Linked DNA regions of Lytechinus pictus. The protein of the gene in region 2 purifies or fractionates together with the protein of the main gene of each other region. This does not show direct contact. Links are inferred from orthologs where the notes say so. Each region holds a gene or a part of one and is shown on either strand. Other genes may lie near its edges.

Region 1 (7,820 bases), on a different chromosome or scaffold from region 2:
GTTTTTTTTGGGACGCACTGTAGATCTATACACAGCTCCATGGCGATGTGTGAAGGTTTACTCACACAGCGCTGTTGGGCGCCCTTCCCCATGACTTGAGCAGCCCTTCTAAGTTTCTAATCAAAATCCCCACAATACTTTCTGCCATGTGAATTAGAATAGTGAATCATGGGTGCACAGACATGGCAGGGTCACCATTTAGTTTAAATCTGAAAATGACTGGTCAAGGTTTTTCCATGAAACAAGACTTGGTCATGTTGGTAGACCTATTTCTCTCAAATTTATTTTAGAAAATTGGGACACATTTGGATTGAAAATATTTGTGGAATAGAAAGAAATTCGGCGCGAATGCAGTTTCACACCAGCCGACTTCGAGCAAATTTCCCCACCAAAAATTGTTCGCAAATGTCATGGCAAGTTTCTCACTTCTCAGTCACATTTCATCAACAAGGTCAATGTGCCAACTGCTTTTCCAAATATCGCGATCGGCTGTATTTTGATTTGCGGCTTTTTGAACTTGACGTCGTTTGAATTCTCAGTCAGACAATGCGCTTCGCTTTGCCATAATTTTGAGATTAACATATGGACTGAAGTAAGCAAACACAATAAAAATAGAGTCTACCGTTAGGTGGGGAAATTTGCTTGTTGAAGCTAGCCTAGGTCAGTAGAGGCGCTGGTCCAAAAATTGGGATTGTCCCAGAAAACAAGAATATCCTCATATTCCTAAACCAAGACAAATCATGTCTTGATAAATCGAGACTGTCCTTGTTTATGGGGACTTTTTTTTTCACTTCTCCCTACGGGACAAAGACATCAATTACGGGATTTGAGAGTGCTAAAAGTAAAAATTGATTCAAAGACCTTAAAGGAGAATGAAACCCTTGAAACCAGCTGAATCCATATCAAAGAGAAAAATCAAAGAAACATATTGTTGAAAGTTTGAGGAAGATTGAATGAACAATAAGAAAGTTATGAGCATTTGAATATTGAGATCACTAATGCCATGTAGATCCTCCTATTGGCAATGCGACCAAGATCTGTGATGTCACACACGTACAACTCCCTCATTACTTTAGTACTTATTTCACTTATATTCTCACTTTTACAGTCTATCACAAGGTGAGGTGTTCTCTTTATGAGAGAGTACAGAGGTTTCACAAGTACAGAGGTTTCACAACATTATATCATTGATAAATCGTTCGTCATATGATTAGAATGAGCAAAAAGATATGTTTTGGGGTATATTTTCAGTGTCCAAAAGGGGAGAGTTGTTCATCTGTGACATCATCGATCTTGGTCGCATTGCCAATGGGAGGATCCCCATAGCATTAGTGATCTCGACATTCAAATGCTCATAACTCTTCTATTGCTAGTCCTATTTTACTCAAACTTTTGTTGATCTTATTCTTTGATTTTTCTGCTTTCACAAAAGCTGACTTGCTCCAAGAGTTTCATTCTCCTTTAATTCCCCCCAGTTCACCGTCTATTTTCATGAATTACCGTCTTCCAATAATCTTGATATGAAACCTGATATGTTTACATTGACTAGCACACTTGATTGGTGTTGGCACTTGACAGGTGAATGAACTTTCCTAGATTTCTTGTGTAGAGAAATCTTTAAAAACTGAGACAGTCCCTGTAAACTGGGACAATCCGAATTTTCTGACCAGCGCCTCGAGCCTACTGTACTGTAGGTAGGGCTAGGCCGGAGCCGAGTGAAACTGCATTATTAGCACCAGAAATTCATGTTGACAGTAGAGGCGCACGGCCAATATGGGAGACTGTCTCCCATGAGAGAGATTATCTCCAATATCAGAGACTTTCGTAAAGAATTAGGGTATCCAATTTCAGAGTCTCCAGTTTGGGAGACTAATTTCCTTTGTTTACATTTGCTGTAAAAGGATTAGCTTGGCGGCAAATAAAAATCTACTCTGAAAATTCACTGTCTACTTTTGTTTTGATAAGGATTTTTGTTGTCATCCACACACAAAACAAATGGGCTTCTGACCTCAGTGAGACAAAATTTTGGGTGGACAAAATTCCACTTTTGTTGGTGTTTATATTTCTTTTGTTTGTTTGCAAAGCAAGTCTCCAATATTGGAGATTGTCTCCCATATTGGCCATGCGCCTCAACTGGTTGAAAACTTGAATCATATATATAAGTTATTTTTATCCAGGTGCGCAGACATGGGGACGCAACTCCCTTCATAAGAAATCCCTCTTGAACAAAGAGGGATTTCTTATATGAAGGGAGTCTCTTCTTTCTCTGTGCCTGGCAGCTGAGCACTGAGCAGAGTCTCCTGAACCAAGACCATGGCATGCCGCACTTGTTCACTGCAACCATCCCGCCTGTGGGGAATCTACAGGTAGGGACTATGGACGGTATGCCAATGCTGTATACAGCACACACTTTAAAAAATCATTAAAATGTCACTTTTGTGACCAAAATTACTAATTTCCATACATTTGCAATTTATTTTTCATTAGTAACCAGGGAATAATTTTTCTATTCACCAGAGCGCTCAAAAACTTAAATTTTTTGCATATTTTTGTGTACGCCCTCTATTGGTGGAAAGTAATATGGTAAGAAAATTTTCATTTTTCAATCTCTATTTTTAATTTTAAAAAAAAAATTTAAAAATAAAGAATCAAATTTACTTAAGAGTCAAGTTATAATATGATGTAGACCCTATAGCTGTAATGGAAACAGAGTAACAGACAGTGTAAAAAAATCAAGCATTTGTCCCAAAGTAAAAGAGAAAATAAGCCAAACATTGCTACCCTTATTTTGCAACAAATGGAGATGTAACTGAGAACAAGGTTAGTCCTTGTTCATTGAATGAGTGGCATGCGCATGCCGCCGCTCTCCAGCAGACATACACAGCCAGCTAGCGGGGAAAAGCCCCCGCAGCCACTGTCCTAAGACTGTAGTGTAACTGTGTAGTGTAAGTAAGCCTAGCACGAATGAAAATTTAAACTTTTTTTCACTAGACTCCTGTCTACAATACAAAACATAAAAAACCAACAAGTTAGATCTTCATCTTAAGGCGGATATTACTACTGTGACCCAAACAAATGGATGGTTTTTAATTTTTAGACATTCTATCGACTAGTCACCACCGACTCGCATATATATCAATCATGTCCGTTTCACACGGACGAAGTGCTCGGGCCGAGATACATCAATAGTCGTATTTTTTCATGCAGGAACTCAATATTACACCAAATATATTTGAAATGCCTTCACTACAGAGTAAAAAAATACATCGCTTATTCTCATATGATATCATTTTTAATACATTCTTTCATGATTGCATGGATTTAGACAGATTTGTGCGTTAATAATTTTATTATCGCATACCTCGCTTCGACATTTTGGAAGGAAAGAGATTGTTAATTAGCATAAAGTCGCCAATAGAGGGCTTTATAAGATAAAATCGAGAAGGGGATATCGAGAGGAACCACTCATCCACTAAAAGAAAAAAATAAATAAAAAACACTCTTTTTCACTTGTTGTATTCATGAAAAAGAATTGGGTATATTCCTAAATAGATGATGCGAACAAGAAGCGCAAATACTAATGAAAGTATAAATTTGATATAGGCCTGCTGACCGGAAAAAGAGACATTTTAAGGACTGTTTTGGCGGGACAATTCAAGCTAAGAGCTAAGGACAAATTGCAGGGGCGGATCCAGCCTTCGCCAATAGGGGGGGGGGGCGGAATTTTTTTCAGCCAAATTTTCCCCGATCGGCCGCTCGAACATGATTTTTGTTTGTTTCTTTGAAGGGGTAGTCCTAATAGTTACTTCTTAGCTTTATTCATATAAATCAACATGAATATATAATATCATCATCCAGTGGCGTACCGTGGGTCACGGCATTGGGGGGGCACCAGCAAAAGTTTTGAGTCACTAAGTGAGCGCGCGAAGCGCGCCCAGCTGCCAGGTATACCTAACAGAGACATTTTAAGGACAGTGCCATTAAACGGATATGTTTCTCACTGGTCAAATAATGCGAGCGCGAAGCGCGAGCTTAAAATTTTTGATATTTAGACCTAAAAGGGGACATTATAATAAATCTTTTGTAATCATGATATGTACCTGTCTCGCTAAATAATGCGAGCGCGAAGCGCGAGCTGAAATTTTTGTAAATATTGACCCCAAAACAGGAAGATTTTAAGGACTATATTTTAGGAATGCATTAAGAGTATACACATCTCACCATAGTCATCTAATGCGAGTGCCAATAAGCGCTTGCTGATTTTGTTAGAATTACATCTAAACATGCACATAAAGCACTTGTAATCATGATTAACATACCCATTTCACTAATCAAATCTTGCGAGCGCGAAGCGCGAGCTGAAAATTTAGGAAATTCAGACCTGAAGAGGGGCATTTTAAGGCTTGTTTGTAGAAATTCACGAAGACCATACGTAGTTCACTAACCAAATGACGCGAGCGCGAAGCGCGAGCTGAAAATTTTTGATATTCAGATTAGAAAGAGGGACATTTAAGGACTGATTCTAGGAATCCATGGAAAGCAGACATATTTCACCAATCCACTACTGCGAACGTAAGCACGGACAGGAAATGTTTTATATCAAGACCTTAAAATGGGGCAATCACTTTAAGTAGTCATGAAAAAGAAGCATACTATTGTACATAAAACAATAACTCGAAGTGCGAGGAAATATATTTGGCAGTTTGGTGTATATTGACTTGAAAACGGGAGGTTTTAGTATAACAGGATTATATATCTCGGTAAACAGACGATGCGAGCACCAGGAACAATGAGGACATAGGCCCTGAGCAAATTATGTTTCATAAAGTTATGAAAAAAAAATGTTTCTTATGTAATATAACATAACATAATTATAATATAACATTATAATGAACAATAATGTCTTCTTTCCCACTTCGTTTCTCTTCCTTTCTCCCTCTTTTTCTCCTTTTCCCCGTTTTTTTTTTTTTTTTTTTTTTTGGGTCAGCCGATTGGGGGGGCACGTGCCCCCCCATGCCCCCCCCGTAGTTACGCCACTGTGACATCATCCTTTATATTCATATAATGCGAGCGCGAAGCGCGAGCAATTTTTTTTATAAATTGTATGTATTTTTTCCTAAAATTTGAACATTCTAGTCAATGCTTGATATATTGAAAAAGATGTGTATGCAACTAAATAATTACTACAAACGCGAAGCGCGAGCAGAAATTTTTGATCCACGTTTTAAACTGATCGAAAATGTAGGCCTACCTAATGCTTACAGTTAGCCATGAAGACGTTACATATTTCAACAATCAAATAATGCTAGCGCCAGGCGCGAGCTGAAATTTTTGACCGTTTTACCTAAAGAATGGAAATTCTAAGCACTTTTTGTAACTGAAACAGAATAGGTATATAACTTAACAATTCGCGCGAGCGGAAATTTCGAGATTTAGACCTAAAAAACGAGACACTCTATTCATGTTTTGTAAATCATAAAAAGGATGAGTAATGGGGATCTTCCTTACATTAATAATGCGAGCGTAAAGCACGAGCAGAAAATTTTTGAACTGATCTAAAAGGTAGGCCCTACCCAGGGGCGGATCCAGCTTTCGCCAATAGGGGGGGGGGCCGAAATATTTTCATCAACATTTGTCCCGATTGGCCGCTATAATCTGATTTTTTTGTTGGTTTTTCAGGGGGTAGTCCTAACAATAGACTAAAGTCTTAAGTATATGTTAGTTTTTATTGTTATAAACAAGATAAGGTATCTCATGTGGTCTTTATATAATGCGAGCGCGATGTGCATGCGAGCTAAAATTCTTTGATATTTTATGTCCTTGGAACTGAAGATTCTGAGCATTTTTTATCATCATGAACAAAGATAAGTATGCAAATAAACAATGCGAGCGCGAAGCGCGAGTCGAAATTTTATTATAGTAACGTGAAAAGGGACTCAATTAGGACTGTTTTTAGCGATTAATGAAGAGGATACAAGTATCACCAATTAAATAATGAGAGTGCGAAGCGCGAGCTCAAAATTTTGGATATTCCGACCTGAAAACTTGACAGTCTAAGCGCGTTTTTATTTGAATAAAGAATAAGCTGTGTGTCTCAAACAATTAAATACGAGCGCGAAGCACGAGCTTAATTTTTTGATATACTCACATGCATGATAAAGGAGCATTTTGACAAATTTTGGAAAGAATTTCCAAAGAGGATAGGTATCTCACAAATCAAACAATGCAAGCGCGCAGCGCTAGCTGAACATTTTGATATAACAATTTGTGTAAATCAAACAAAATAATGAAAGCTTGATGTGTGAGCTAAAATATTGTGTGCAAATTGATTTCAGAGCTGCAAATATTAAGTGTCATTTAATCCTCTTGAATGGGATTCATAACACAGGCAATGCGAGCGCGAAGCGCGAGCGAAATTTTTTATATAAAGTCTATTTTCCAATTCTTCCCCTCACCTTTTTCTTGTTTTCTTTCGGGGTCGGGCCGGCCGTTACGAGGCTGTAAATTACACTTCATGGGTATAATACTTCTTTCCTACTTTTCTTTCTATTTTTTGTAGTTTCTATTTAGTTACAGAGTACACTTTTTCGGCAGGTTGTCAAAAAATAGGGGGGGGGGGCGGCTCGGCCCCCTCCTGGATCCGCGCCTGCTACCTGTTAAGGACTGCTTGCACTTAGCCATGGAGACGTAAATATTTAAACAATATAATGTTTTTTTGACATTTAGAATGGAACATTTTAATCAATATTTTCAATCGTGAACAGGATAGCTATATAACTAGACAATTGATGCGGAAAATTCGAGATCTAGACCTAAAAACGGGACACTCTATTCATGTTTTGTAAATCATGAAAAGGATGAGTAATAGGGGATCTTCCTACATATAATAATGCGAGCACAAAAAGCGAGCAGGTGCGCGCGCGTGTTTGAGATTTAATCCTATAGAATCTAGGCATTCTAAATAATCTTTTATCATGAAATTTGGCGATCGCGAAGCGCGAGCTTAAAATATTCAGTGATATTTCGATCTAAAAAGGGTCAATTTCAGCTCTATATTTCAAGCACTTTGTAGGAAAATTGTGAGGTGGATATGGATCGCACTTAATGAAGAGCTGATATTTTTATTATTATTACTTTAATTTTTGATGTTAAAATTCTCACCATAAAACTTACATTTTACAGAGCACTTTATAAAAAAAAATCAATTTTTAAATCACACAAAATAATGAAAGTTCGATTTCCGAGGTGAAATATGTTTTGTATAACTTCCAAACTTGATATTTAAGCTCCATATTGAACTAGTTGTGAAAATCGCCTAACAGGCAATGCGAGCGCGATGCGCGAGCAAATTTTTTATCGTGATATGAAAGATTCTTTTTATTTTCAAAGTCTTCCCCTCATTTTGATATATTTTTTAATTCAATCGTCTTCCTCTTATTTTTCTCCTCTCTTTTCCTTTTTTCTTTCGTTCCTTTTTTTTCTCCGCCAATAGGGGGGGGGGGGGCCTGGCCCCTTGGGCCCCCCTGGATTCGCCTATGCATTGAATATCCAAATTGAATACCAATTGACTACCCAGGACAAATTTCCAATTGAATACCCATTGAATATCCAAATTGAAATATGACAATTGGCAATTGGTTTCAATTTGGAGTAATTGGAAAGTGAAACAATGGGTACCCATTGAAACCAATTGATCCCCATTGAAACCAAAAACTATTGGTCCCAATTATTGGAACCAATGGTTTCAACTGGAAATAGCCCAATTGGTCCCCAATTTGGACACTAATTGAAACCAATTGACTTCAACTGGTTTTACTTGG
Region 2 (8,620 bases):
GACAAAACTTATTTTCACCGACTAATCAGCCTTTTGAGGGCCTTTGCAGCTAAAATCGATCAATTTCAGTTGATTTTGAATGTAACATTTTAATAAATTGCTTATTTTTCATTTCATTGAGAAAATTCAAAGAAAATGTATTTATTTTTAGTCAATGACAAATAAAAAGTAGACATTTCAAGAATAATATTTTCATCTTTAAAACTATATTATATCAATCAATACATAGGAAACATCTTCAAATGTACACATTTTTTCAAACATAATTTTCTTTAACCCAAATAAATCATTGTGCATTTTTTAATCAATAATGTCTGATAATGTCTGAAAAATGCGACCTCATTGACTTTTGTACAAGTTTTTTCAATGTTCATTAGTGTTGTTGGTGTTGCTGCTGCTGTTGTCATCGTGATTGCTGGAATTGCTGTTTGTTTTTGCTGCTCTTGGTGTTGTGGGTGTGGTTGTTGCATCTCCTGGTGCAATTAGTTATTTTTGCTACTGATGTTGCTCAAGGTGGTGCCTGTGTGGTTGCTGTTGTCATCGCTGCTACTGCTGCTGTTTACGAGTGTGGCTGTTGCATCTCCTGAGGCATCTATTGATGTTGTCGCTTGTGTTGTTGCTTGTATGATTGCTTGTTAGAATCCTTGCTGTTTGCTTTGTTTCTACTGTCGTTGTTGCTACTGCTGTTGATGTTTACCACTGTGGTTGTTGCATCTCTTGATGAAGTTATTTATGTTGCGCCCGATGTTCCCTGCATGATTGTTGGAGCTCCTGCTGCTGTTGATGTTGTCGGTGTGGTTGTTGCATCTCTTACTGCAGTTGTAGTTTCAGCTGCTGATGCTGTTGTTGCTCCTGCTGCTGTCCATGTTCATGGAAGTAACTGAAATGGATTTAATTTATAGAGCATGTGATATTTTATTAATAAAGATATCAATTTCCATCATTATTGATATCAGTCATTTATTCTTAATTTAATTATCATTGTTAAAACATTTTTTTATTTCTAATGTTTGAAATAAGAACTTTAAGTTCTAAATGGTTAAAATATTGTCACCAAAGCCTTATTAAACAATGAAAACAAAAAAGTTAATAACAAAGAAATGCATAAGAAAATGATTAAAATTTCCTCTTTTTTTATACACAATTGATTTTGATGACTTGGGTTTTTCTCATTGGTTTACCAAAGAAAGGGAGTCAAAATCCAAAATTATCACATTTGGTCTTTATTTCTTGAGCCAAATGCTGATTTCATGCAAGAGTCATGTTATCATATTAAATTAAAAAAAAAAAAACATCAGGAACAGCAGCATGATTTCTGAAGCGAGTGCACAATCAACAGGCAAGATCCTGAGGCACCCCCCCCCCTACCAAGATCATTTGAATTAATGAGGTTTCATGACTGCTTTTGTAGGCATTACATTTATACAGGCCTACAAGAGATATAATTTTTTTTTTTTTTTTTTTTTTTTTTGGGGGGGGGGGTAATCTTCCAGTGTTACTCCCATACAAAGCAGATGGTGATGGGGCGGGGGGGGGGTCTAATAGGAATGCAGAACAATGGAACATTCATTTACTACTTTGGCAATAGAAAGCAAGTCACACCATCTAGCATTGATTGATATTGGTTGTTTTACAACTGTCCAATAAATATCACCATTAATCAATTAAGCATCTAAGCACTTATAGATGTCATTGTTTTCAAATATTTGAGTAGAACAAATAAAGAAGAGAGCAGTACCAGTAATTTAATATTTTTTTTAATGTGACTTTACTTTCTTCGCCAAAGTGAGGCAGTCATAATTAAGAGTGTTTTAACTTACAAGTGACATCACATTTCCTGCCTTCTTGTCTGGCTCTCCTAAACCTTCAACCATTTATACTTGTGTAACTTTGTATCTCATGTCTGTCTGAAAAGTTTGGTTGAAGCCTCCACCTGAAGGAAAAATAGTATTGAAATAACTAATTAAAATATTTGCCATAATCTGGTATTTCTTCTCACATGTATATGTACATGTCTAAAAACAGGAAATAAAACATCTTTTGATTACCAGGTTTCATATAGAAGGGGGTAAATAAAGGGTTCAAGTTTTTATTATGTTAATAAAAAATACAAACAATAGTAAAAATGACATATGCTCTGGCTGAGAAACTTAAAAAGTGAAATTATTCCTCACAATGTAGCTTGTATGTACATACACATGAGCAAGTAGTGCTAAATGGATTGAGGGGTGAGAGCAGGGGCTCCGGAAACCGGCGGGGGGGGGGGGGGTGCATGTTAGCTGCAGGGTCAGCGGAACGGTTTTTACAGTGAACGGGCTGACCATGCAAAAAATCGTAACCAGATGGTCATTTCATATTTTTCAGCCCCCGCACTGTTTTCCAAAACCATGTACAAAAATGTAAAATTGACCATCTGCTTATGATTTTTTGCATTGGTCAGCCCCCCCCCCCCCCCCCCACTTTCGGCTCAGCCCCCTCACTTTCAAAACCGTTCTGCTGACCCTGCAGCTAACATGCAAAATATATTGAATCTATTATGTCTTTCATGCTTATGTAATGTTTGCATTTCAAACTGACTTTAAATAGAAAATCCGGTCACAGTCCGATTTCATTGTCATTGATGTGGGTTTTTATGATTTTACATTCTGCAACCAAAACAATATCCTTCATTATTTTTTAATCATTATCGCATTTTACTAGTCTACATGTTACCTGTGGTTGCATTTCAATCTCGGTATTTCTTCACCCATTGCCAAATCTTCTGTCACATGTTCATCAAATTGGCCGCTGGCACATTCCTTGCTGTAGTAGACCAGTCAGAGCCTTGCTTTCTAGTTCCAGATCCGTCTTCTTCTGCATACTGTTCAAATGTCCATAGTCTGAAATTAAAATATTAATAATATCACATTGTTATACATGTAGCAAAGAAAATATGTAGATTTACAGTGATCATTGAAAAATACTGCACTTTCAATGAATATTGTTGACATTTCATAAAGGGGAATGATCGAATATACCAATCATTTTTCTTCTTTTATTATCCTGAAATTTATAGAATTTACCAACAATCGGTCAACAATTTATCCTTGTTAATTCATATAATTTTCACTTGATTATAAACAAGACGGTAATTAACACATTAACCATACAAAATAGTAAAACAGCTTTTTCAATAATTTTTTTTTTAAATTAAAAAATAAAAATAAAAGTTTTTTTCAAACTCAATAGCGCTTGGATACCTTGCCGGTTAAAAGCCACAATCAAATTAATAAAAAATATGAATAGGCTCCTAATTCATAACTGCAGCAAATTGCATCCCCATCAAACCATCAAACTGTCAACTATTTCTGGACTGTGACCTTTGTTCAATGGAACTTTAATATGAGATTCAAGGCAGAAAAATACTTGGGATTGATGAGATCCATTCCATATTCTCCTATATTTTTTTCTAATGAAGAGACCTTTAACCTTTACATGCTATTTAAGGTTAGGTATGACTAGACTCTAACTTTATGTGGTACGACAGTATTTTTCAAAAAATAGATTAAGAGACATTATCAACAATAATTTAATTTATTTACCCCAATAACACCGATGCTATTGCAGATTCATGCTAAATAGTAATTTGTCTAAAAAATTGACTTAGAAAAATAAAAGCCAAACAAACTTCATAATCGCACACAAATGAAGAGCATTATTTCGTCTCCCCCAAATTGGACGATCAATATTTTTTTTTAAAGGGAGCTATGAAATGGCTCATTTCACTTGGGTGCGCAAAGTCAAAGATAATTTAAGATAGATCTAGGCCTATAAGCTATACCAGTACGGCCACGGGCCGGTTGCACTATTTAAAACTTAGATCTAATAATTTTTTTATATCTAGATTTTAATTTTTATTGGGTGTGAACGCACCTCTGCCACAATCGCATCACCCCCCCCCCCCCGCCCGAATCCTCGACAGCTGTCGAGAGCCTTCACTTCATTCGACTTGTGACTTGCTAAGGCTAAGCCTACATTAATAGTTGAGAACATCCACTTTACAAATTTACCACTCACACTATTACCATGTGATTTAGCTCCTGTTCAATTCCAATTTCTGTAACACAGAATTAGGATGGCCCCATTGGATATGTGTACATTTACAATTGCACACGCTGGTTTGCCTGGTGATCAAGCCAATCTCCGACTACACCGAGCAACAAAATTATTACAAAACCAAAGGAAATGAAAAAATATGATTTGCAACATAGAATGACATAAAGGTAGAACAATATAAAGAATTCTCTTTGCAAAATTTATAACATTGCAGCCATGTGCGGATCATAAAAACGTGACAGCCGTGAGCCGTGTCGTTAGTTTGGACCTGAGATAGTTCTACAGACACAGAAACACGGGTATGGGACTAGACTGGATTTTGTACTGTCAAGTTCACCGATCGTATCGACAGGGGTCCTGCCAGAAGATCCTCTTTTCTTGTAATTCATTTGATAATCACGCACAACGAATAATTCAATCACCTTACATACAATATGAACGACATTTTGAAGGGTTTTACTTACGGTAAAATCCTCATTCACCTCTACGAGGACCTTCGCTTCTTCTCATTTCTTCGTTTCATTTCGAATCGTCGTGGCGAAAACATCAATCAATTTTACATCTTTTTCACGACTTTGGGAGTGGGCGTGGCCTAATTAGTCAGCGAACCTCGTTCAAGACGATTTGTAAAATAAAAATTCTCTGACAATAGTCAGAGGAGCTCCGAGAGTTTGATGAAACGAATTTTTGTCAGCGCTGACTAAATTGTCAGCGCTGACAATTTTAGTCAGCGCTGACAGTTGTCGGACGAAAATATTGATGAAACACCCCCCTGGTCACTATAAATGAGGGGACTGATGACATAAGGGCAATTCCATGGAAAATGTTCACTTTAGAGAAAAAATGAAGTTTCAGATTTCACTTAAGCAGTTAAATTTTCTTAAAAAGTAATCTATAAAGTTTCAATTTCCAATAGAAAAATTGCAATATTGATAAAATTTTGTATTTTTTTCCATCATAAAAAAAATTGAATAGTAAATTGCAAAATCTAAAAAACGTGGCTATTTTTAAACAATTCATCTTTTCTGTCTCTACTAAAAGCAAATAAGGTCCCAGAGGTCTCTTTTAACTTCTGAATAGTTGATTAATGTTTACATCAATACAAAATCATCATTAAATTTTATGCCATTCATCAATTTTAAAGAAATCGATCTTCAGATTTGTGTGATTTCTTTATCATTTTCAGTGTCATGTCCGTTACGTTTTTCACTTAAAGTTTTCACAGCTTACAGGAAATTTGTCTGAAGGTACTGCAGATTCAGATTCTATGTTAGAATTAATCCCCCTACCATGTGTAGCAATCATTTTCCCTTACCACTTCTCATTTTCATAAAAATGGCGTAACGGACATGACAAATCGTGTAACGGACATGACGCCTTATATACGACAAAAGGTAGCATTCACAAAAACAAAATATTAGGCTCAGTGTCACAGACTGAGGTCAGTCTCAATTGCTTGAGGATAGCTGGATGTAATAACTCCTAAAATCTGCATGTCATTCAAGCTATTTTTCGAAGTTGGTGAATGATGAAAGTTCAGCTCTTGTTCTGGTATATTTTTCTGAGAATTAACAATATGCCACATAATATTAGGATAAGATGCAGCTAGATCTGGCAACATACTCAGATCACAATCTGTATCATTTGTGTTTGAACAATACGATTGATTATCTTAGGTGTTTGCACTGACAGTTTGGAGCATGATAAAATTCCAACTTGTGAATTCATGAGATCATTGATGATATTGCTTCAAAGTATCTGACTTTCACCAACCTCAACTTCTTCAGTGATGGCACGGGCTCACATTTAAAAACAAGTTTGTATTCAGATATCTGTGTTACATGATGTAGCTCTATGAATCCATGAATCTACAGTGGCACTTCTTTGCAATATCACAAAGCAAAGGGGCTATGGAAGGAATGTGGCGCTATCAATAAATTATGTCATCATAGTATTTTGGTCAGCCATAATCACGATTTGAATGATGTATCTTCATTTGTACACAAGCAGCACGGACAATGCAACATAATTAGATACAGCCACATTTGTCAGCAAGCAAGATAGTAAGATTTAGAACATCCAAGAATTGATGAAAGGATGATTATACTCAGGATGATATTTATTTTGAATGAAAAAAAATCTCAGAAGCGATTTACAAACATTCCGATTACCTTTCAACTCATACATAATCGATAATGAAAGACTGGTTTCCAGGTACTGCTATTAAATTTTAAAATACTTTTTAATATCATTTTTTTATCTTAAAACTGACATTAATACTAGTTCATATTATTCTTTATCATAAAATATATTTCATATGTTCATCTTGGATTTATACAGGTCTGGTACATTTTGTTTTCTTCTCACAAAAAATGAGATTTGGTCTTCTCAGTGTGCCGTAGGCCGTAGCGGTACTATTAAGCATTGTATTCTATATAAAATTATCATGTAGGCTTTAGCTATTAAATTAATAATACCTGCCAATAATATCTACATATTTTTCTTTAGAATGTTAGTAAAGGTACTTTGCTGTTACATAATTACATTCATTCATTCATATTTCTTTCATTTTGAAACTAAGAAGTGCTGATGAAGTTCACTTCGTAAGGGTGTCATGTCCGTTACGCTAAGTACATTGTCAAATAGTAAGCCATGACTAAAAGATAATCTTTACTATCAACTTTTTCTCTTTTAGTTTGGTGTTGCAGATGGTAGTAACTGGAAAATACTCATTAACTGTTGTTAATTGGTGAAAAATAAATTTTTCTAAATATTTGTTTGTTTTATAAATATTGTACGAAAAGCCCCTCTCTCAAATTGCAAAATAATAGGAGATATTACAGATTACCAGTTATGATGTGTGTCTCTAACCTCTAGCCTTAACATGTAAACAATTAGACTTGTACCATATCTTGTAATAAAATAATTATATTTGCTTACAAAAAGTGGACGAAACTGTCATGTCCGTTACGCTTCGTGTGTCATGTCCGTTACGCTTCGTGTGTCATGTCCGTTACGCTACATTTTGAGCTATGAATACAGAATGCACTGCAAAACTGTTGTTAAACACTATTTTATGGATAGAGCATGATCTTAAGGTTAAATCAACACCAACATCAGGTGCATGCAATCTAAGAATTCACAGGAATTTTGATAAGCAATAGGAGGTAAAAATGCTTCGTCCATTTCGTGTCATGTCCGTTACGCTCACAAAGAGTGCAATTTCTCAGCAACTGTTCAACGAAACGATTTGAAATTTCATGTGTATGTAACTGATACTTAAATGTGTCTGATAAGCTCAGTAACAATTATCAAAAGACTGCTAATTCTACTGTATTTACCTTTGAATTATAAAAATTTGTCTGAACGTCATGTCCGTTGCGCTGGAATTGACCATAACCCACTCACTATTTCTTTTGTATCATATTATATGAAATATTTGAATTTTCTCCTCATTGTCATGTGAGCAAAGTTTCGTTCCTCCCTTAACATGTGGAATTTGATTGTTTTTACATTTTGTGGTTCGAACAAGATGGTCATAATTGTCATATCCGTAAAAAAATGAAATATTGTATAATTCAAACAATAAAAACAAAAGAAATAGCCAGTGAGTGACATCATCAACTCTCTCATTTGCATATCGCTGAGTTGAGCATAGAATGAGTAAAATAAAAATACAAAAATAGAGAGAGAGAGAGAGATGGAGAAAGAGAGAATTCAGATCAATTAGTAATAAATTTATAAAAAAAAATTACCCCTCTCCAAGAAAGAAATTAAAAAGCTATAATTCACAACTATAAGCTAAGTGATTTTGGATTATTAAGGCTCCGTTTTGACAAGCAAACGTTTTAAAATGTCATAACTTTTTTGTTTTTCATCCGATTTTGATGAAATTTTCAATGTTGTGCCAGTCTGATTTTTCTCTATTTATTCAAATCAATATTTTACTGGGGTGGACTTGACCTTTAAGTACCTTGTTACCTAGGCCATCTGGCCTGGGAGATTTGTGTGTTTGTAAGCCTGAAAATATTCTTCTTACGTCATGCTCAGAAATTTGGATAGGTGTTTGATCAGGCATCTCGTTCACCTTACTTTTGATTCCTTCATTTTCACTACCAAAATTTTCAACATCAAAACGACATTAAAAATTATTTAGATCATCAACAAAACCAATATCTTGTTCTGTTGGCACAGATTTTGATTTATCTTTGTTGTATCGAGTAATATCCTGCATTGTTTTCCATGCCTTTCTGGGGTTATTATCTCAAGAGTTCCGTTCAATCTTTTCTTTGTAGGAACTTTTACATTTTTCCGTCTGCTGCTTGATTTTTCATTGGGTTTCTCTCAGTAACTCCGTATTTCCTGTCGAAAGCGCTGCACCCTTCTCCCTGAGTAAATCGCAAAGTTCTTTATTAACCCACGGCTTGTTGTTAGGATACACCTTAACTCGTCTGTTTGGCGTTGTTATTTTGAAGCAGAACTTGACATAGTCGGTTTCACAGTCCAGTTTTAACACCACTTTGAG
Region 3 (8,160 bases), on a different chromosome or scaffold from region 2:
ATTAAACCCACTTAAAATGCTTGGGCTTAGAGTGTTGTCTTTACCCCTCACCCAGTTCTCTTTAAAATACAAATTAAGGTAAACATCAATTTTATTTATTTATTTATTTATTTATTCATATTTCACCAGGGTAGCTCATTCAACAAAAGTTGATCTTCCATGAGGCCCTGGATAACAAACAATACAATTATATACAATTAAAAACAATCAATGGTGATAATACATATACAATCATCAGTCCATATGATATTGTTAAAATACAGACGTATAAAGTGATAACAGTATTATATAAAGTAATATATCAAAAAAGAGATTATAGTTTATAGCATCAGTCCTGAAAGGGGAATGGTATTGCATCCCAGTTGATCGGCCTAGGCAAGATTGAGGAAATGTCTTTTAACAGAGAGTTTGAAATTATTGAGGGTTTTAACATTTTTAACACTTTGTGGGAGACTATTCCATAGAACGCAGCCATCATAATATAAAGCATAATATAAAGCAGTTGTAATCTTAAAACTTAGACCCCAGCATCTTCCAAACTATAAAACCCTTGTGATAACGCATACTTAATTTGACCAGACCAGTTTATAAAAAAAAAAAAAAAACAGAACAAAAAAATGTAACCCTCTTCCAGCCTAACATCCTGTAATAAATGATGTTATTAAACATTCATTTTTTTCTTCCAGGCAAAGAAATTAATCATAAAAAACAACATCAAAACTTAGAGCCCGGGGAGCATTTCATGAAAGGAGTTGTCTGACGTTTTATCCGACACTGGTAGCACTGCTTCTTAGCCAATCAACATCAAGAGCAATTGTCAAATCTGACAACTTGTCGGATATAAATGTTGATGAAATGCTCCCCCAATCATCTTATTCATGTTGAACAGGCACAAGAACATGATTGAGTCTTAGTTATGAGGATTTCATTTATCTTATTTTTGAAATGACATGGTCTGGAATAAAGAAAACTCTCTAAACTTTTATTTATTGAAGGTTCTTAGTTTGAAGGATAGTTGGGCCTTAGATTATGTTATTCTTTTTTCATGATTTTGGTTATTTTGAAATAATTGGGTCTGGAGGAAAGACTACATCATATTTCCATGTTATTCAATGTTGATAAGATTGCAGGGTCTTTTTTGTTGTTGTTGTGTTTTAAATGACTTTTATAACTCGGTCTGGAGGAAAGACTACGCTATATTTCCATGTTTTTCATCATAAAGAGGATCGTGGGTCTTTGTTTGCTTTTTTTAATTAATACTAATTTATTATTATTATTATTCATTTCTTATTTGAATGATCTGGGTCTGGAGGAAAGACTACGCTATATTTCCATGTTATTCAACCTAAATAGGATCGTGAGTCCTTGTTTGCTTTTTTTTAATTATTACTAATTTATTATTATTATTATTCATTTGTTATTTGAAAGATTTGGGTCTGGATGAAAGATTATGCTATATTTCCATGTTATTTAATATTTACAAGAGAGTTCGGGTCTTTGTTACTTTTCCACCAGTTTTAATTAACTGGGTCTGGAGAAAAGACTAAGCTCGATTCTCATTTTATTCCACTAGAATATCATTATCGTATCTTAGTTTGGACTTATAATAATTTTGAAACAACCGGGTCTGGAAAAAAGACTTTGGACTTGCATTATAATTTTTTAATTATCCGGGTCTGAAAAAAAGACTTTGGACGTATATTATAATTTTTTAAACAACCGGGTCTGGAAAAAAGACTTTGGACTTGCATTATAATTTCTTAATTTTCCGGGTCTGAAAAAAAGACTTTGGACGTATATTATAATTTTTTAAACAACCGGGTCTGGAAAAAAGACTTTGGACTTGCATTATAATTTTTTAATTATCCGGTTCTGAAAAAAAGACTTTGGACGTATATTATAATTTTTTAAACAACCAGGTCTGGAAAAAAGATTTGGACTTGCATTATAATTTTTTAATTAACCGGGTCTGGAAAAAAGACTTTGAACGTATATTATATTTTTTTAATTAACTGGGTCTGGAAAAAAGACTTTGGACGTATATTATAATTTTTTAATTAACTGGGTCTGGAAAAAAGACTTTGGACTTCTGTTATAATGGTTGAAACGACCGGGTCTGAAAAAAAAGACTTTGGACGTATATTATATTTTTTTAATTTACCGGGTCTGGAAAAAAGACTTTGGACGTATATTATATTTTTTTAATTTACCGGGTCTGGAAAAAAGACTTTGGACGTATATTATATTTTTTTAATTAACTGGGTCTGGAAAAAAGACTTTGGACGTATATTATAATTTTTGAATTAACTGGGTCTGGAAAAAAGACTTTGGACGTATATTATATTTCTTTAAACAACTGGGTCTGGAAAAAAGACTTTGGACGTATATTATATTTCTTTAAACAACTGGGTCTGGAAAAAAGACTTTGGACTTCTATTATAATTTTGAAACAACCGGGTCTGGAAAAAGACTTTGGAATTGTACTATAATGTTTTATTAACCGGGTCTGGAAAAAAGACTTTGCACTTTTGTGCTATATGAACGCATTACTATAGGATTTTAGTTTAGAACAGGTTCGTCAAAAATCCCTTCAAATTTATTACATTTGTGGGTAAAGTCATTATTACATTTGTGGGCGATCAAAAATTATTACATTTGTGGGTAAAGTGCATTATTACATTTGTGGGTGAAATTATTACATTTGTGGGTAAAGTGTTATTACATTTGTGGGCGTTATTACATTTGTGGGTAAAGTGTTATTACATTTGTGGGCGTTATTACATTTGTGGGCGATTATTACATTTGTGGGTGTAACACCCCCCCCCCCACTTTTTTCCAAAACCGTGTACAAAAACTTAAAGATGACCATATGATTGTGATTTTTAGCATGGTCAGCCCCCCCACTTTGAAAACCGTTCCGCGGCCCCTGATTTTAATTATCACAGTTTCCTTTATATGGGGGCAAGGGAACCGAAAGGCAGAGGGGGCACTTGCCCCCTTAAAATTTCCCATAGCAAAAACGCCTTTTTTAATGTGAAATGCAAGCCTGCGTAGGGAAAATTTTGGGGGTACTTCAGCACCCCAGCTTCCCAGGGCCATGGTTCTGCTTGTTAGATTTTTTGTTTTCTTTACCCTTTACCAAAATGGAATAAAGAATGAAGGTCATGGAAACTTGTTTCCCACTTTTATGAAACTCCGGGTTGAAACTTATAGGGAATTGATTGAGTAAGCAACTTGCGGGTACGGGAGGCATAGGCCTATACTGTGCAGCCGGGAGAACGGGAGATTATCCCATAAGTTGGCAACAAAAATAAAAACGGTTTAGAAAGGCAAATACAAGTTGGAAAAGGGGGAAAGAGGCAAATACTAGGGGGATGACAGTATTTAGCCCCCCCCCCCCCCCATACAACCGCGTAGCCAGGAAGCGCGCTCCCTAGGGTGCAGGGTAATCTCATCGTAAATCAAAAGAAGGCGTCTTTTGCGTCTCTAGTACCCTTTTCAACTCGAATTCAATTGAATTGCTGTGATAAAAAAATTGTTTTCAAAAGAAATTATGAGCTTGAAGATTTGAGATAAGATTGGAGGATTTGAAAGAATTCCTCTTACCGCGCGAAGCGCGGAAGCTAAAACGTTTTATAAAAATTGAGAACAGAAGTTATAAAAACGCCTACCTTGGTCACATCAGATTTGATTTAAATCAAGTTAACTCAAGTCGCAAAACAGAGTAAGAGACGGGTATATGCAGGAAAGAAATAGGCCCTATTTCTTCCCGCGAATGGTGTTGAAGCTCTGAATTTTAGAAATTTATCTGAAAGCTTAACCTGTTATAATTTTGACATTTCTTAGACTGTAACTCGATTAACAAGGAAAATGAGCTCAAAATGTGAAAGGGATGGTGCAAGCTAGAAGAGGGACTTAATTGTCCTTTCCCATGCTCGCCAAGTGCGGAAACCTTTGTGATTTATTTTGGAAGAAAAAAAAAGTGTATAATTTCGCTCATATTAAGCGCTTCCTTTTGTTTGATTTATAAGATACTTCAGTGATATTAAAAATTTTAAATCAATGGCACAAAACAAGACAGGAGATGGATGTGCAGCGATAAACAATAAAGTCTCATATATACTTTTGCATATTATAACACGGAACGAATTTAATGCCTCCTCCTTTGAGCAGATATACTTGCCAAAATTACTTGCTGACAAAGCGGAAAAAAATTCATTTGGGGAGTCGGGAAATGACGGTAATGTTTACCCGCTCCGAACAGGAGAGCCGACAATTTGTGTCAATTGCAATTTTAAAAATATATATTTTTCACTCTTTACACCCATGTATAATTTATAACCTCTGGCAAGAATATACGATTCCCACAACCGGGAAGGGGAAAAACGAAGTAGAAAAGGGTGTGGGGAAACAAAAGGGAAAGGCGATTTAGATGTTTTTCACGCGCGGAGCGCGGAAGCAACATTTTTTATGAAGAGAGAAGATCAACGTTTCGTTAACTTTAGGTTTTTATTCTTTTGACAAAAAAAAGAAGGAAAAACAACACAGCATACCTTTTCTTCCCTTTCATAGTCTACTTTCGCTTTTTATTTTTCTCCTTTTCCTCTTTTTTGTTGTTGTTGTTGTTTTTTTTTTTTTGGGGGGGGGGCGACCGCCCCCATCGCCCCCTGGCTACGCGCCTGCCCCCATACCCTGCCCTGCCCTATATCCTGCTCTCCTCCCTTCATATCAGCAAATACTGTACTTTTTTCTTTTCTCAGAGACACTGTACCGGTACCCGTGCAATTGTTTTGATCTCTAGCTAGCTCTTTGTTCAGTTCACGTCCCGCGCGAAAATTGAGTGCTAATGACAGAGTTATTAGGAGTCCCACCCATTAAGGCCAGGCATAGATAGAGTTATAATATTATATAAACCTAAACACTCTATGGTCCCACCCAGCTTGACAGGTAAGAACTAAATCAATCATTTATGGAAATTGAATTTGCGCTTTTAACATGTTTCATGGTGGCACACATCCCTATCGCCACCAAATTTGAGAGTATTTCATGATTTAAAAAAAATCCCGGCTAGCGGCCAGGCTTCGGCTTCGCTTCGCGCAAGTGCCTAGTCCGTGCCCGGCCCGTGGTATGGTGCTTGGCCGCATCTTTCCCGATCGAGATTCAGCGTCCCTCTGCTAGCCGGCAATTATACCCAGAGAGCTCCGTCCCGCGAAACTCGAAGCGGGCCGGAGCCTAACTTAGAAAATAGAAGGTAACCAAGGGCCTCCATGACAAGATGAGCGATACGTAGAAAAGTTCTAGGACCATTCTTCCGAGATAGGAAGATTGGCGACAAATCAGCGCTTTCCATTTCACAAACTAAGGCAATTTCAATTTGTCTTCCAAGACAATCCTTGACATCGTTTGGTATCGATAGTAATTAGTATCGCCTATCGGAAAAATAATTTAGTCTTCATCGTCACCTGAACCTTTTATTTCGGAATGACGGCTTTTCATAATAATAGATTCTATACTCAGTAGAGGCGCACGGCCAATATGGGAGACTCCAATAGCCATAGGGGAGACGATCTCCCACATTGGAGACTTGCTTTGCAAAAGGACAAAAGAAACAACAACAAAAGCATGATTTTTTCCACCCAAAATTTTGTCTCACTGAGGTCAGAAGCCCATTTGTTTTGTGTGTGATTGACAACAAAAATCCTTATCAAAACAAAAGTAGACGGTGAAAAGGGGTAATTTTTCATGAGGAATCTGCTTATCACATTTTTATTTGCCGCCAAGGTAATCCTTTTGCAGCAAATGCAAACAAAGGAAATTGGTCTCCAAAACTGGAGACTGTCTCTGAAATTGGATACCCAAATTCTTTACAAAAGTCTCTGATATTGGAGATAATCTCCCACATTGGAGACAGTCTCCAATATTGGCCGTGCGCCTCTACTGATATTAAATACAGTAATTTTAATAGTTAAAAAAGAGATTTATTCTGCAAGGCAGGAAGCTGTTTTGCCACCTGTTGGAACCCTTATAAAACATTGTAGAAAATATAGGGAAGAGGAATATAAGATTGCACAAGAGAGGAATACCTTGGCAATACATCTGGGCAATTCCATGGAAAATGTTCACTTTAGAGAAAAAATGAAGTTTCAGATTTCACTTAAGCAGTCAAATTTTCTTAAAAAGTAATCCATAAAGTCTCAATTTCCAATAGAAAAATCGCAATATTGATAAAATTTTGTAGTTTTTTTCCATCATCAAAAAAATAGAATAGTAAATTGCAAAATTTAAAAAACAAGGTCCCAGAGGTCTCTTTTAACTTTTAAATAGTTGAATAATGTTTAAATGAACAGAAAATCATCGTTAAATTTTATGCCATTCATCAATTTTAGAGAAATCTGTCTTCAGATTTGTGTGATTTCTTTACCATTATCAGTGTCATGTCCGTTACGTTTTTCACTTAAAGTTTTCACAGCTTACAGGAAAATTGTCTAAAGGTACTGCAGATTCAGATTCTATGTTAGAATTAAACCCCCTACCATGAGTAGCAATCATTTTCCCTTACCGCTTCTCATTTTCATAAAAATGGCGTAACGGACATGACAATTCGCGTAACGGACATGACGCCTTATATATGACAAAAGGCAGCATTCACAAAAAAAAATATTAGGCTCAGTGTTACAGACTGAGGTCAGTCTCAATTGCTTGAGGATAGCTGGATGTAATAACTCCTAGAATCAGCAGTTACTCAACCTATTTTTAGAAGTTGGTGAATGATGAAAGTTCAGCTCTTGTTCTGGTAGATTTTTCTGAGAATTAACGGTATGCCACATAATAAGGATAAGATGCAGCTAGATCTGGCAACATACTCAGATCACAATCTGCATCATTTGTGTTTGAACAATATAATTGATTATCTTCTGTTTGCACCGACAGTTTGGAGCATGATAAATCTCCAACTTGTGAAGTCATGAGATCATTGATGATATTGCTTCAAAGTATCTGACTTTCACCAACCTCTACTTCTTCAGTGATGGCACGGGCTCACATTTAAACACTAGTTTGTAGTCAGATATCTGTGTTACATGATGTACATTGTAGCTCTATGAATACATGAATCTACAGTGGCACTTCTTTGCAATATCACAAAGCAAAGGGGCTGTGGAACGAATGTGGCGCGATCAAATTATTATGTCATCATAGTATTTTGGTCAGCCATAATCACGATTTGAATGATGTATCTTCATTTGTACACAAGCAGCGCGGACAATGCAACAATATAAGATAAAGCCACATTTGTCAGCAAGCAAGATCGTAAGATTTAGAACATCCAAGATTTGATGAAAGGATGATTATACTCAGTCAGGATGATATTTATTTTGAATGAAAAAAAATCTCAGAAGCGATTTACAAACATTCCGATTACCTTTCAACTCATACATAATCGATAATGAAAGACTGGTTTCCAGGTAATGCTATTAAATTTTAAAATACTTTTTAATATCATTTTTTTTAATCTTAAAACTGACATTAATAGTAGTACATATTCTTTATCATAAAATACATTTCATAATATGTTCATCTTGGATTTATACAGGTCTGGTACATTTTGTTTTCTTCTCACAAAAAATGAGATTTGGTCTTAGTGTGCCGTAGTGGTATGATAAACATTGTATTCTATATAAAATTATCATGTAGGCTATAGCTATTAAATTAATGATACCTGCCAATAATATCTACATATTTTTCTTAAGAATGTTAGTAAAGGTACTTTGCTGTTACATAATTACATTCATTATTCATATTTCTTTCATTTTGAAACTAAGAAGAGCTGATGAAGTTCACTCCGTAAGGGTGTCATGTCCGTTACGCTAGTGTATATTATCAAATAGTAAGCCATGAATAAATAATAATCTTTACTATCAACTTTTTCTCCTTTAATTAGGTGTGGCGGATGGTAGTAACTGGAAAATACTCATTAACTGTTGTTAACTGGTGTAAAAGAAATTTTTCTAAATATTTTTTTGTTTTATAAATATTGTACAAAAAGCCCCCCTCTCAAATTGCAAAATAATAGGAGATATTACAGATTATCAGTTATGATGTGTGTCTCTAACCTCTAGCCTTAACATGTAAACAATTAGACTTGTACCATATCTTGTAATA

What was found. Proteins that work in one complex are often made in the same cells at the same time.
Region 1: the proteins of (E3-independent) E2 ubiquitin-conjugating enzyme-like (region 2) and large ribosomal subunit protein uL14 purify together in Homo sapiens (affinity purification with mass spectrometry; 3 studies listed by BioGRID and IntAct, with this or other methods). This does not show direct contact. The link is inferred for Lytechinus pictus from reciprocal best matches to the Homo sapiens genes UBE2O and RPL23.
Region 3: the proteins of (E3-independent) E2 ubiquitin-conjugating enzyme-like (region 2) and ATP-dependent DNA helicase Q4-like purify together in Homo sapiens (affinity purification with mass spectrometry; 3 studies listed by BioGRID, with this or other methods). This does not show direct contact. The link is inferred for Lytechinus pictus from reciprocal best matches to the Homo sapiens genes UBE2O and RECQL4.

Annotation. Positions count from the first base shown.
Region 1 is NC_087247.1:17,383,687-17,391,506, forward strand, and holds the start of large ribosomal subunit protein uL14, read right to left. Parts: upstream 3,403-7,820; 5' UTR 3,375-3,402; coding exon 3,362-3,374; intron 1-3,361.
Region 2 is NC_087254.1:31,378,312-31,386,931, reverse strand, and holds the start of (E3-independent) E2 ubiquitin-conjugating enzyme-like, read left to right. Parts: upstream 1-5,465; coding exon 5,466-5,489; intron 5,490-8,620. UniProt on the Homo sapiens protein: E2/E3 hybrid ubiquitin-protein ligase that displays both E2 and E3 ligase activities and mediates monoubiquitination of target proteins. Negatively regulates TRAF6-mediated NF-kappa-B activation independently of its E2 activity.
Region 3 is NC_087246.1:52,525,252-52,533,411, forward strand, and holds the start of ATP-dependent DNA helicase Q4-like, read left to right. Parts: upstream 1-4,758; 5' UTR 4,759-4,947; intron 4,948-8,160. UniProt on the Homo sapiens protein: An ATP-dependent DNA helicase which unwinds dsDNA with a 3'-overhang in a 3'-5' direction. Does not unwind more than 18 bp of dsDNA. May modulate chromosome segregation. The N-terminal domain (residues 1-54) binds DNA Y-shaped DNA better than ss- or dsDNA.